3 linked regions of the Cricetulus griseus genome follow. Each later gene encodes a partner of the first gene's protein in a complex. Links are inferred from orthologs where the notes say so. Each region holds a gene or a part of one and is shown in the gene's direction. Other genes may lie near its edges.

Region 1 (4,314 bases):
TTCTGGACATTTGAGATCGTGTTGGGGAGAGAGATTGACTAGTCTGGCATGATGCTGGATTCTGATCCAGCCTGAGAATGGGGGTATAGTATTCAACAGCCTCTGACACTTTGATTCTGCCCTCCTGGAATGTGGCATCCTACAAATTACATGTGCTCCTGATGTCTGAATGGATGCCTGGTTGAGTGGCAGAATGACAGAGGCCTCCCTGTCATGTGTGTTTTTTCCTGGTTCTGAGCAATTGTAAATTCAGGGTACCAGGTCCTTAGAACACCAAGATTTATTTATAAATTTAAGAACTTTTAGAAATTTGTGGTCATAATAAGTAACATTTAAATCTTACTGTTGCTTAGTCAAAAATTTACTAATATTTACTTATTAGTAAAATAAGGTTTTTATTTTACTTTATATGTATAAGTGTTGTATGTACATACATATATGTGTACCATATGTGTGCCTGGTGCAAAAGACCAAAAGAGAGCATTGAATCCCCTAGAACCAGAATTGCTAGCAGTTGTATGTCACCATACCAGTCAGTGCTGGGAACCAAACCCAAGGCCCCTGCAAGAACAAAGGTTATCTTAACCAGAGTCACATTCTTCCCTAGAATATTTTTATGTCATAACTTTACAAATTAAAGACAAGTATAATGGTGACCTTACTATCATAGGAAAAGATTGTATTAATAGTACATTCAAATATAAAATTTAATAAGGAATAACTTTGTGAAGTATAACAATACAGTAATAATAAATTATAACAAATACAGTTTTTTAGGTTCTTTTAAACAATCTTTTTTATATTACATACCAATCCCAGTTCCCCCTCCCTCCCCTCCTCCTACCCTCCCCACATTCTTCCTAACCCCCATCTACTCCTCAGAGTGTGTAAGGCCTCCCATGAGGAGTAAACAAAGTCCTTCAAACCATGTTGAAGCAGGACCAAGACCTTCCCCACCCCTGTATCTAGGTTGAGCAAGATAACCCTCTATAGGGAATGGGCTCAAAAAAAAAAAAAAAAAAAAAAAAAAAAAAAAAAACAGTTCATGCACTAGGGATAAATCCTGGTCCCACTGCCAGAGGCCCCATATTGTCCCCCAAGCCCCCCAACTGACACCCACATTCAGATGGCCTGGTTCAGTCTTATGCTGGTTCCCCAGCTGTCAGTCCAGAGTCAGTGAGCTCACACTAGCTCAGGTCAACTGTTTCTGTGGGTTTCCCCATTATGGTCTTGATCTCTTTGCTTATATTGTGGCTCATCCCCAGTGCTCAGTTGTGCATCTCTGCATCTGTTTCCAACATATACAGTTTTAACATGAAATTATATAAAAGAGGCATGTGATACGTTTATATACCCTCATTCGTGTTTTAAAACTGTATTAAAGAACACTTATCTTCATTGTATTATTCCCAAGCGTTCTGGGTTTTGTTGTTGTTGTTGTTTGTTTGTTTGTTTTTTGTTTTTTTGGGGTTTTTTTGGATCTTCTAAATGTAAAAAGTAAAGCAACTAGAATCCACCAAAAGTTTTTGAAACATTTCAGAAGTCGGGCCCATTTCCTGCTCATAAACATCCTGTGGTTACATCAAGTTAAACTCCTCAGCTACACCAGAAGCAGTGTGCAGATTCTACTGAGTGCTCTGTTTTCTGTCACAAATTATCTTTATTTTTAATCTATTGATTATTTTCATATATCTATTAAAAACTTCAGCCTGGACCTCAGCCATTTCCTCTTATGGCAACTTTGCATTTTCTCCCAGGTCACCTTCCGAACGAGAATCTACCACTGTAATATCAACAGCCAAGGGGTGATCTGTCTGGACATCCTCAAGGACAACTGGAGTCCAGCCCTGACCATCTCTAAAGTCCTCCTGTCCATCTGCTCACTCCTTACAGACTGCAACCCTGGTGAGTGGCCCTGGATCTGGTACCAGATTGAGAAGCACAAGGTTGCCTTTGAACCTGTTAATGCTGCTAGTGTTCCCTACCCCAGCTGCTCATTATCATTGATTTTAACTTTCCATGCTCTATAACTGTGTTCTTTTTAGATTGGTTCTTTCCATTCACTTCTTTCTGAACCTATTATTTACCAAAAGAAATTTAAAACAAAATATGATAAAAATTAATGAAAACTCATTTTAAATGAGAAAAAGTGTATTTTAGAATGCATTAAATTCTCCTACCACATAACAATAAAAATTCAAATTGAATAGCTTAATCTTTAATTAGATACCTAGTAGACATGTTAATTTGAGAAATGTGGGCTATTAAAATCTCATAACAGCCAAGGCAGCACCACACAGATGTGACCTCCAGTGCAGTAGCAGCCGTGCGCCCTGATAAGCTGTTAGCAAAAAAACTGAATGGATCTAAATCAGGAAGCAGGGCTTGCCAGGAAACTAAGGTGGCTATCGGCATGTCTTGGCCCTCTGCTGAGCTTTGCACTCAGGTTCTCAACTCTTGTTTCTTCCTCTGCATGTGATCATGTGCCTTTGACAACTTTGCTTTAGCTACAGGGCAAGCCAGCTATGAATTGTGCTCATATATGGATTTACTCTGGAAAATACAGAAATCCTAGAGTAGTTTTTGTTCATGCTCTCCATGAAACTTGCATTTTTCAGTGTTTTATTAATTGTCATGAAATCCCATCTCCTGGGTAAGGCCCTTGTGAAATGTTTTTAGTTCACTCACCAGGTAGATAGTAAAGTCAGATCAGATGGCACCATGAGAGTTGACTGTCACTGCAGGCCCATCCTCTCCTGGCTGCACCCATTTCTGCCTGCCACATGTATGACCTTACTTAGAGGTGATGTTGCAAGGAGGCTTTCTTTGTTGTTACTTTTGTTTTGATGATTTTGGCCTTTTACCACAAATCAGCAGTGAACACCTGCTTTCAGAACAGGTCCCCTGAACTCATCCACCTCTGTCTAAAGAAATGGCTATCAATATGTCGTGCTGTTGGAGAGAGGCTGGAACTTTGGTTAATCAGTTGGGTTTTGTTTGCTTGTTTCTTTGATTGGTGTTGCTGTGTCTCTCAAAAGTTTACATTGTCTATAAAACTAAAACTCACCCCTGACCAAAACAAAAGCTCATATTCTGAACCAGGGATGCTGGCCTGCACCAGGTTTGCTGGTGTACTTCTGTAACCGCAGCACTCACTTGGGAGGATGAAGCAGAAGGACTGAGAGTTCAAGGGCAGCCTGAGCTACGTGGTGAGATCCTGTCTGACCCATCTCATCTCCACTAAAGAAATAATGCATTTTTTTAAATACTGGCATTCAGTAGGAATATCAGGGCAGAAAATAATAGTGGTCCTTAGAAGATGAACCACTTTTGTGATAGGAGTCTAAAAAGGGGATTAAGAGCACTGACAGCTCTTCCAAGGACCCTGGTTTTGTTCCCATCACTCAAGCGTCAGCTCACAACCATCTGTAACTCCTATTCCAGGGGATCCAACACCTCTTTCTGGCCTCCTCAGGCACCTGGCATGTAAACAGCACACAGATGTACAAGCAAGAAAAACACCCAAACACATAAAAAATAATTTTAAAAGAGACTAGAACAGTTTGTGATATATGCTAATCATCACATTCTGGTGCGTCTAAGAAGACCACCTGAGTGACACTCCACTGTACAAATGTTGACATTCCTGGGTTCTTTCAGTAGAGTTCAGTTTGATTTTGGTTAAGATTGCATCTTTATAGCCCAGGCCAGTTTTAAACTCACTATGTAGCCAAAGGTAACCTTGAACTCCTGAGCCTTCTCATCTTCCCAAGTGCTGGGATTTACAAGGGTGAGCCATCATCCTGGCTCTGATTCTTAAAGAAAGATGTCACTGAAGCATGGTACCTCATCCCTGTAACTTCGGCATTTAGGAGATGGAAGCAGGAAGATCACCTCAAGCTTGAGTAGTCTGGGCTGTATATCAGGAGGCTGTCTCAAGAATGCTCAGAGCAAGTTATCTACCTTAAACAGATGCAGCACCCAGTCTTTAGTGGGCTTCTTCACTGTTATATGAAGTTATTTTCAACCTCTGTATGATTTTTTTTCTCCCTCAATGTAAGTTGAACTTAAGTCTAACTGTTCTTTAAATTATCAAAAAAGATAAGCTTGGTAGAATATGAATAAATAAGATCATCTTATGTGAATCAATGATGTGTATTTAATGAACTTGAAAGATGCTTACCCTTCTTAGTCCATGGGCTCATCTCTTCATCATTTTCATCTTCCTCTTATAATTTATAGTTGTCAATTTCAAAAATTTTGACCCATTGAAATGCAAATGCCCACAGGTGTGATGATGTGACTGAGGCAGCC
Region 2 (5,078 bases), on another chromosome or scaffold:
AAAACCTCCACTATGACTAGCATTTAAAACAAACAAACAAACAAACAAACAAAAAACCAGGGTCTCACTCTAGCCCAGGCTGGCCAGGAACACACTATGTAGCCCAGACTGACCTCGAATTTGTTGCTATCCTGCTTTATTCTCTTAGGTGTTGTAAACACTGCCATGCCCAGATTCATTGTGGCTTTTGACACACATTACTTTTAAAAGTTACATGAATTATTGAGCAGGGAGTACTAGCGCAGGTTTGAAACACCAGTACTTAGGAAGTAGAAGCTTGATTGCAGATTCAAGGCCAGCCTGGGTCTCATCGAGACTCTCCATTTAAAAAAAAATATCTTTCACTGTAACTCAGGCTGGTCCGGAATTTACTATGTAACCCAGGATGGCTTCCAATTCTCAGCAATCCTCCTGCCTTAGCCTTCCCAGTTCTGGGGATTTATTGTATTCTTAAACGGTGAGATTAACAAATAGTTTATTAGTTAAATGCTTTATAGACAATTAAGCAAATAAGGGATTGGAGAAATTGTTAAGTTAAACACGGTGGTCACAAGAAGTTTCTCTGGTAGGTGAGGTGAAGCCTAGATGATTAATACAAAAATATCAAAGAAAAATATTTCATCCTCATTTATGTTTGTTTGGGTTTTTGTTTGTTTGTGACAGGGTTTCTCTATGTAGCACTGGCTGTCCTGGAACTCGATCTGCAGACCAGGGTGGCCTTGAACTCCTACAGACTGGGCCTCCTGTGTGTTGGGATTAAGGTGTGCTCCACCACCACCCGGCTTCCAGCCTAGTTTAAGAAACTGAGGTAGGAATAAAAAGCTATCTGTTTAGCAGAAGACAGGAAAATGGGGATGGTGGCACGGAGACATCCTTAAAACAGGTTTAAGGTTCTTTTCCCCTTTAACTGTTGAATGGGAACTGGGAGCTGTAGGGTGCATTCCTTTCATTCCTTCCCTTAGTCATCAGCAGGTAAGAAAGGCTTCCTTAACCAATCGTTTAGAATTCCCCTATCAGATTTTCCCATCCATTTGCAAACTCCGCCCCTTTAAAGTACTCAAGTTAGAGCCTCGTGGAGTCCTTCCTTAACACTTTTTAACATTGCAAATTGACTTTGTCCCTAAAGTGCACCCCTCCCCCACTTCAAATTGCAGCATTGAGGAACAAATAATGTATTTTAAATTTTTGTTCACTCTAGATTACCAAATCCCGTAGGAACTGAGAATTTCTATTTTTAGACTATTTCAACTTTATTTTGGGTTCAACTTTCTCAACATCTACAGCTGTGCTTGATCTACAGTTGGCACTTGGTAAATACATGTTGAATAAAACGTTGGCTGCGGTCTACACTAGTCTGGGACTGTGTGGATCAATGCCAGTGACATTTATAACACATTCTACTTCTCTGAAAAAGGCTTTGAGCGGCCCGACTGTGACGTCCTTCAGCTTTCAAAATGGGAATGCGAAGGTTCCCACAATTCTCAGAACGCGAATTTCTCGCCACAATTCAAAATGGCGAAGGAGGGTGGGGCCTGTCACATGGTGGGCGTCACAGCGGCAGTTTTTTCCCTACCCGCCTCCCGCCGCGTGCGATAGTCTACCGGTCCCCTCCTCTGCCCAGCAGGCCTTCTCGAGGAATCAACTGGGATTGGCTGGCTAGCAGTCTGGGACTGGGGCCTGTGAAGCGGGGACGCGGCATCATCACTTCCTGTTGTGGGCAGTCGTTTCCTGTCACTGCTAGGTAACAATGGGGAAGATAATGGCTGCTTGAGCTACGTCTCAGATCGAGCTCTGGGTTAGAGACGGGTCTCTACCAGGGGTTCGGAGGCGGGCTGGAGAGCGGCGGCTGCGTGGCAGAGCCCCGGTGAAGGCGGCGGAGCCCAGCGGGTCGGCTCTTGGCCGGGACACCGAGTAAGTGACGGCACGGGCACCCTGAGGAATGGGATGTCGGGCTGGGCAAGGCAGCGGCTTCCAAAATGGCCCGAGTGGCTGGCCGCGGCCGAGACAGCCAGCACGGCCTCCCGACCCGGGTTCGTGGTTGTTGGGGCTTCTATGGCGCAGTCGCCGCTGCCATTTTAGCTGGGTGGTGTGTGGCGGCCGGCTCATCGAAGAGGGGAGGCGGTGGGTAGGACTTCCTCTCCGTGGCCCTGGAGTCGCGGCCCGGCCCTCCCGAGCTACCAACGTCGGAGAGGCGCCCGGCCATCCTGACCTCCGAACGTCTTGGAGGTGCCCGGCCCTCCCGAGCTCCCCTCCCGAGCTCTGAACATCTTGGAGGTGCCCTGCCCTCCCGAGCTCCGAACATCGGGGAGGTTATCGTGGACTTTGGGCCTTGGGCATCAGAATCTCTCCAGTTCTCCTTACTCGGGAGTTTCCCCCTCGTCGCCCCGCGTTGCGGATGGGGTTAGGGTTTGGGGAAGTGGGGTGGAGGTGGAGGTGCTCTGAGTCAGATGTTGGGAACTCTTGGGCCTTTAGATTTTCCCAGGATTCGCAAAGCCCCATTTTGAACCCTTCTGGAGGGCATTGCCAATTAGTTGCCCTCTGGGGCTACGATGACAGTCTTCCCCTGAGGATAGGGGACAAATGTGGTTTGCTTCCTGCCTCCTTTAGCCCCGGTGTATCCTTGGCTAGATAGTACTAGAAGGATTCCCCCCCTCTTCCAAAAAAAAAAAAAAAAAAAAAAAACGGAGGGAAAAGACGTTGCGGGTTGTTTTCCCTGGGTGAGTGTGGGAATTGAGCCAGATTATTTTCAAGTTAATATCCGTGTGATCCGCCAACATTCATACCCCTCCCCCACTCAAAAAACCCCCTAAGGGTCTCGGCTTCTGCGGGCGGTACCTGCCACGTACGCCATAGCTTAGTAACTAGTATTAACCGGTTGGGCTTCTGCTTCCTGAATACTCAGTCCCTTTTCCCCTTATGCTGATTAATTTCAAGATGGTGGAGACAGCCACGTTCTTCCCTGGACAGTTTCACCATACTTATTCCACAGGTTATTCTAGCAGTCTGAGGCCTAGCAGACTAGTTATTAAGGTCATTTTTTTTCTTCTCAGGGGCAAAAAGATTTACATCAGATTCTCATGCACCACTGGCAGGCCCCACGATTTTTTTGGCTAGAAATCAGTTGCTTACATTTCTTGAATCCTAATTAACCACAGTGCGTTTAGATGATTGAAGACAGAAAAAAATAACAAATGTAGCGCTAATCATTTCTTTGATTCTTCATAATTACAAAGTTACTCATCTTCCCGTCAGATCAGAGTCTGGAGAGGAAGCAGGCACATTACAGGTCGGCCTTTTCCTCAAATCAGTTTCTGAAATACAGGTTAAGTATTTAGAAAGACCAACCCAAACACCCTTTAAAGTAACTATTTTAGGGCAGTTTTTCCTGAGAAAGGTCACAAACATTCTTTAGCCTAAGATGTCCTTATGGTTTCTATTACTTTAGTTTCTGCCTTAGGCTAGTTTAATGTACCAAATAAATCCTTGAATCCGAAAATAATTACTAGTCTGATAAGGAAATGGCTGTTTTAAAGAAGTTAATATTAAAAGGTAGATTGCCTCTTGGCTTTTAAAGGAAATATTTTATCTAACTCCTGGTTCCCTCTGGCCTTCTTGGTTCCTAAAATATCCTAATTCTAACATTGAATTAATTTGGGTTATGATTCGTGTAACCAAAATACATATGATATGTGTTTTTAAGAATTTGTTTTATTTCAAAGAAAATGTGGGGTTTATAACAGGAAGAATAATTAATTCTTTTTCTCCTAGAACAGAGTGAAGAAAACTAAAATCCAGTTTATTGGATTTCAGTACTATGTCATAACAGACAGGTAATTATTTTTTGTTTCTTCTCCTGATGGTGTGTATGTAGAATGTATTTACAAATATATGTTGTTGTGTTTTACAGTCCCTGTGGTTGAATGGTTTTTTAGTGATGAGGGTAGGTGTTTTTTTAATGTGAATGCAAAGGGTACCTGAAAGTCACCTATGCTTTAACAGTGAATTTTATTTTTAAAGTAATCTAATATTAGCCAAACTTCCATAGCACTGAAAGAAAAAATTAGGAAGCTTTAAGATATTGTTGGAATGACCTGGGCATATGAAATTGCTTTTAAATATTCAGTGAATAACTAAATGAAATCTCAATAGAATGTGAGTTATTTTGTCTGCCATTTTATTTTTCTCCCTTCAAGATTCAGGAAGCCATATTGGTATGTATTGCTCTGATTAATTCTGTTATTATTATCAACATTGTAAGATGACCACATAAATTTCTTGCACTAGCCAGGGCACTTAAAAGTAAGTGGGACATTTTAAGTGTTCCTAGAAAACAGATGCAAACTTGGGTGTCCAAAGCAAACTGCTGGACAGTTAACTAGGCTACATTTATAATTAACTTCTCTTGAAGAGTATTGCTAGGCTCTGGGTTTGGTGTGTATTATTTTGTAATCCTCACAATAAGATCTTCATGGGAATGTTAACTATTTTAAAGAGGAAGCAGACTTAGTTTGCCTCAGTGGAACAGAGGTGAGAGTTATCCAGTAACTGCATTATTTGGGTGGTTTGTTTATAGTTTCTGTTTCAACTATTATTGCTTCTTGGTGTAAATTGATAAATTTACTTTAAAAATAAGTCTGTCATGGTGGCCCACATCTGGAATTCTGGCACTTAGGGTGGGGTCAGACATAGGAGGATCACCACAATTTGAGATCAGCATGTGAATTCCTAGGCCAGCCAGTTTTACATAGTAAGACCTTGTCTAGGAAAAAAAATTACAAGCAGGACTCTTTTAAAGAAATAGCTCACCAAAATCTTTAGAAATGTTAGGCTGCTGTCTTTCAGTTGTTAAACATTGTAGTAAGGTTTTCAGTAGGAGCAAGTCAAGTAGAACATTTACATTTATACAATTGTGGCATGTGTACTTTTCCCATAATCATACAGGACTGGGAAATAGAGTACCTCACTGAATAGCACCTTGTTCCTTTGATTTACCATAGAGTGGCTAATAAATAAGTCAAAACCAGACCAATGAGGTGCTGCATTTGGGTTAGTGCCCTGGGTGAGGGCAGATTTCTAAA
Region 3 (5,012 bases), on another chromosome or scaffold:
ACAACCATAGAGAAGTGATAGTTTGCTTTCCAATCCTAAAACAGCTGTCATTAAGGAACTTCTACTTCCAAACTCCTAGGTCCTGAATTGAAGCAGTCGACTTGAACAGGTTCCATGTTGCTAGTTTAAATTTAGTCTTCTATCTGATCTCTCAATAACCAAATCAGAACATTACGCACATTAGAGATGGAAAAACAGACTTGGAGAAGCAGATATGTGTCTTGAAATCATACAGGGACCCACTTGGCTGAGTCAGAATTTGATCTGGAGGATGCAACTTTGTCAAGAAGGAGATGTATGTCTTGGGTGTTAATCACAGCCCTGCCACATGTTTGTTGAGCTTTGCTTTGGGAGAAAGTGTCATGTAGCCAAGGCTGGCAAACTTGCTTCACAGCCAAGGCTGGTCTTGAGCTCCTGATTCTCTCCTACCTTCACTTCCTAAGTGCCAGGACTATAAGATCTGTGCCACTACCCCTACTGACACTTATTCTTGTGTGAACTTGTGCAAGTGATATATGCCTCTCTTTGGGTCTTAGTTTCATCATGGAGAAGGAATATGCCCAGACAACTTCAGTAATGTTTTATCAAGACTTCAGGTGTTTGAAGATAGCATATTTAATACTTTGGATAACCTTAAGGGGCAGGTATAATCATTTCCAAGAAAAGGCAGTAGAGGCTCTGAAGCCACCACCTGAGAACACTCAACTTGGAAATGTTAGGACTGGGCCAGAAATCTTTCTCTTCACAGCTACTCTATATCCCTAAGTCACCTTTCTTCCTTTAGCTTCAATCCCTTGTCCTTTTCCCACCTCATAAAAGTCAACCAATATCTTTTCCTCGTGGTGTTGTGTGCAGAGTCTTTTTGGGGGGGAATTGGGGTGGGGACAGCAAGGTTCAACCTGACCTCCAGTTCTATATCCTATGCCTCATAAGAACTGGGGATATATGCATGGACCACCACTCGTGGCCCTCTGCTGGACTCTTTATTGAGCCTCTGTAAGATGGCAAACCTTGTTATAGGTGGGCCTGGAACAGAAAATAAGACAAAAAAACCTGTCCCCAGTTTATATTCTACCAGAGGGCAGAGAAACAAAATGCATAGCAACAAAAACAGATATTAGACTCAAGAGTGAAGAAATAGTGATGTTGGTGACACGGGAGCCTTAAGAGATGACATTTTGTGTTTGGTTTCCTGCCAAAGCATTGCAAAAATAAACAACACACACACACACACACACACACACACACACACACACACACACACACACACCACACACACGTAAAGATGACATATATGTAAAGACTTGAATGATCCAAAAGAGGGACAACTTAGGGTTAGACAGCCTAGGAGAAGCCACAGGCTCATAGGGAAGAAATAGCTTGTAAGAAATTAAAGTTCTATGTTAGTGAAAGACCAGAAAATGTTACGGGATTCATTTAGTACAGAAGATTTTATTGTATGCTCTGTGCCCACCAATAGCAGCGGGCCCGGAGAATGACACGGTGCATATATAATCACATTTTCCACCATTACAGGAGAAGTCGGTGAAAACTTAATTCCTATTCACGTTATTATGAAGGCTCCGGGCTTTTCACCCAGCCTCGATCCTTCGATCCCTCCTCCCGACGCCAGGGTGCGCTGCGCCGTTCCTCAGCTGGGTGGCGTCTCGCTCTTCCGTACTTCCCTTCTCGCTGCGCAGCACTTCCGGTAGCCGGCGGAAGCAAGGGGTCTGTGGCTGCCGACGCCGGGGTCCGGAGGCATGGCGTGGGCGGGGCAGGGGGAGGTGTGCACCGAGCAGGCTAGGGCGACCCTTGCCCCGGCCCCATGAGCCAGGACCCGACAGGTGAGGACTTGTCCTTTTCGGCCGGTGGGAGCTCCGCGGCGGGCTCCTCTCCGCATGATACCCGGGCCCCAGGAGCCCCGGCGCCAGGCTTTGCCCGTGAAGGCTCCGCCCTGGGCTTTTCTTTCCGGGGGCGCCCCTTGGGCATGTGTGTCTGCCTCTTGGCATCCTTTTCTTGTTTTGGAAGCAGTCGCCAAGTGAGGAGACATCTGCACTTGCTCTAACGAGGAAAAAAAACAAAAGAAAAAAACCAAAAAAAAAAAAAAAAAAAAAAAAAAAGAACCCTAACAATTTGCTTTCACACATTTAGTGACCCGATTTAGCCTGGCTTTCTTTTCGTTTCAGAACGTACCTAAGCGTCTACCATGTGCTAGCCCTAGAGCTAGATAAAGAATATACCGTGGTGACTGAAGTAGACCTGGTTACTTCCAGTAGAAAGAGTATAGTTCAGCGAGGAGAATTAAACATTAAACACAATCATGCAATCGAACATGCAAATAAAAGTTGTGACTGAATACTATAGAAAGAACAAGAAAAAGATGAGTCCTAATTTAGGGAGGATGGTAGGGAAAAAAAAAGACTTCCCAAAAGTTGACACTAAGGTTGCAACAGGAAAAGTTAAGGCAAGGACCAGGGAGAATGCATTTGAGAAAAGGAAGGTACCTCTGTGTTTTCCCACGTTGGTCAAGAATATGACTTGAGGTAAGCCCAGTGTTTAAGAAGGGAGCTTGGTAGGTGTCAAGCACTGGGGTGGGCATACAGAAGAGGTGTGTAGCTGACCCAGAGAGATCACTATAAGTATACATATAAGTAAAATACAGAGAATTGCAGGGAAAGAGAGGTGTGGCTACCGTGTTGGGATATCAGGTCTCATGAAGTGAAAAAAGGCCTTCAAAGACAAGATGTTGGAGTTGATACCCCAGGTAGTTCTCAAAGGTGAAGAGTTTAATTTCTACAAAGGCCAGATAGTATATTTCAGTCTGTGATCTGTTACAGACACTCAGCACTTCTTTCCTAGGGCTAAAGTGGCCATAGGCAATATGTAAATGAATGAGTGTGGTTGGGTTCCAGGGAAAGGTTCTTTCCTAAGTCAACCAGAATAGTAGTTTAGAGTCTGACCTCCTCAGGTCTAGCTCAGCATGCGGTTTAGATCCTTATCCTGTGGAGTAGTTTATCCATGGATAAGTTTGAAACAAAAGGATTGCAAAACAATACCCTTACTATATGTTGTAACTTTTTGTTTGTTTTGTTTTATGGTGCCGAGGATCTGGGCTACTTGTTAGCAGAGCCTTTGCCAGAATCACCTCCACCCCAGCTTTTGATTCCTTTCTGATGATTATTGATGTACTTTCTTTGTTGGCCATTTGTATGCCTTTGGGGAAATGTCTTTCAAGTATATCTTATCTGTCTGTATTTATTTATTCATTTATTTTTAAATAATTGGGTTTTGTGAGTATTTGTTGGGTTCTGGGAGTTTTTTTAAATAGGCTGAGTATTAACTCTTTATTAGATATTTGACCAGCAAATATTTCTGTTCATTTTGTAGGTTGCCATTTCACTTTTTTGGGGTGGTGGTGGTTGTTGTTTGTTTTTTGAGAAAGGGTTTCATTGTGTAACTCTGGCTGTCTTGAACTTGATCTGTAGATGAGGCTGGCCCCAAACTCACAGAGATCTACCTGCTTCTGCCTTTCCAGTGCTGGGATTGAAGGCGTGCGCCACCAAGCCTGGCCCCCTTCCACTTTCTAGTTGTAACTTTTAGTGTATAATGTTTTTATGTATTCATGTTTAATCATCTTTTAGATGTGTTACCCATGCTTTTGGTTTCACATCGTAAGTCATTAGATCCATTTTCATCGAGTTTCTCCCTGTGGTTTCCCTTGAAAGTTTTATAGCTATAGGTCTTCCACTTAGTTAATTCATTTTGAGTTAAGTTTTGTAAATGGTGCAAGATAAGGGTGTAATTTTATTTCCAAGATTCTTTTTGCTTATGATATCCATTTGTCCAGAAGCCGTGCGCTGGAGAAACTCCCCTTTCCTGTTGTGTGGCCTTGGCCTTACTGAATACCAAATGCTGTTTGCCCATGTGTGAGCTTCTTAGGGTTTGGCTCCATATCTGGGAAATCAGCTTAAAGGAGGAGAGCTTTGCTGTGTCTTAGTTACAGAGGGCTCAGTCCATCATTTTGAGGGAGGGTCTGGCAAACGGGAAGCAGAGAAAGGGGGGTAAGGAAAGGGTCAGAACAAGATTTAGCCTCCAAAGTCAAGTGTTCATATCCTGTTTCCTCTGCTTCTTCCACTCAGGCTTTCCTTCTACCCATCATCACCTCCCAGTAATGCTGCCATTATGAATCCACAAGATATCAATCCGTTGATTAGATCAGAGCCCTCATAATCTAGTGGTCTCTGGAACTGACTTATGGACACCCAGAGGTATGCTTCACTGATTCCTGGAGCACGGTTCTCAACCTCCCTAATGCTGTAACCCTTTAATACAGTTCTGCATGTTATAGTGACCCCCCAACCATAAATTATTTTTGTTGCTACTTCATAACTATAATTTTGCTACTGTTATGTATTATAATGAAAATGTCTGTGCCTTCTGATGATTTTATGTAACCCCCGTGAAAGGATTGTTCAGCTACCAAAGGAGTCGTGGCCCACAGGTTAAGAACCTAGAGGTTTCTTTCTTTCCTCTTTTTTTTTTCTTTTTTTCTTTTTTCTCTGTGTAGCTTTGGAGCCTATCCTGGCACTCGCTCTGGAGACCAGGCACAGAGATCCACCTGCCTCTGCCTCCTGAGTGCTGGGAATAAAGGCATGCGGCACCAACGCCCAGAGAACCTAGAGGTTTCTAATCCAGTTCTGTTGATAAGATTAATCATGGTTTATTCTGAGACTCCATTCTTTGCCATTGACCTGGTTATGCAAGGGTTATGCTATTGTTGTTGCTTTGTAATAGGTTCTGAAATCAGGAAATATGAGCACTCCAATTGTGGTTTTGTTTTTTTTTTTTCCATATCATCGTAGCTATTTGGTATTCTTTGAGATTTCATATTATTTTTAGGGTGAAAAATGCCATTGGGACTTTGATAGAGATTGCTTTAATCTATAGATCACTTTAACATAACAGCCCAGAGGGAGCTGGAGAGATGGCTCAGAGGTTAAGAGCACTGGTTG

The links. The genes of interacting proteins can lie anywhere in the genome.
Region 2: the proteins of Ube2e2 (region 1) and Rlim are in contact, whole or in part, in a crystal structure (PDB 6W9A), measured with the Homo sapiens proteins. The link is inferred for Cricetulus griseus from reciprocal best matches to the Homo sapiens genes UBE2E2 and RLIM. Residues at the interface, in NP_001357154.1 of Homo sapiens: Lys52, Thr55, Lys58, Arg59, Lys62, Pro112, Asp113, Pro115, Phe116, Ile142, Asn146, Trp147, Ser148, Pro149, Ala150, Leu151, Thr152; in NP_057204.2 of Homo sapiens: Ser571, Val572, Cys573, Ile574, Thr575, Cys596, Arg599, Trp600, Pro608, Ile609, Arg611.
Region 3: the proteins of Ube2e2 (region 1) and Det1 are in contact, whole or in part, in a cryo-EM structure (PDB 9BJZ), measured with the Homo sapiens proteins. The link is inferred for Cricetulus griseus from reciprocal best matches to the Homo sapiens genes UBE2E2 and DET1. Residues at the interface, in NP_001357154.1 of Homo sapiens: Ala77, Gly78, Pro79, Lys80, Gly81, Arg88, Ser89, Thr90, Gly101, Val103, Phe105, Phe123, Arg124, Thr125, Arg126, Ser134, Gln135, Gly136, Gln194, Trp195, Arg198, Tyr199, Ala200, Thr201; in NP_001137546.1 of Homo sapiens: Arg258, Phe259, Tyr261, Asp264, Thr267, Val268, Phe272, Glu274, Asp289, Pro290, Phe291, Ile292, His297, Arg298, Leu300, Val301, Trp304, Arg305, Phe319, Phe320, Gln321, Phe323, Asp324, Arg327.

Annotation. Positions count from the first base shown.
Region 1 is NW_023276807.1:175,703,414-175,707,727, reverse strand, and holds part of Ube2e2 (ubiquitin-conjugating enzyme E2 E2), read left to right. Parts: intron 1-1,757; coding exon 1,758-1,905; intron 1,906-4,314.
Region 2 is NC_048604.1:66,585,896-66,590,973, forward strand, and holds the start of Rlim (E3 ubiquitin-protein ligase RLIM), read left to right. Parts: upstream 1-1,771; 5' UTR 1,772-1,911; intron 1,912-3,768; 5' UTR 3,769-3,830; intron 3,831-5,078. UniProt on the Homo sapiens protein: E3 ubiquitin-protein ligase.
Region 3 is NC_048596.1:118,770,619-118,775,630, forward strand, and holds the start of Det1 (DET1 homolog), read left to right. Parts: upstream 1-1,705; 5' UTR 1,706-1,844; intron 1,845-4,139; 5' UTR 4,140-4,254; coding exon 4,255-4,268; intron 4,269-5,012. UniProt on the Homo sapiens protein: Component of the E3 ubiquitin ligase DCX DET1-COP1 complex, which is required for ubiquitination and subsequent degradation of target proteins. The complex is involved in JUN ubiquitination and degradation.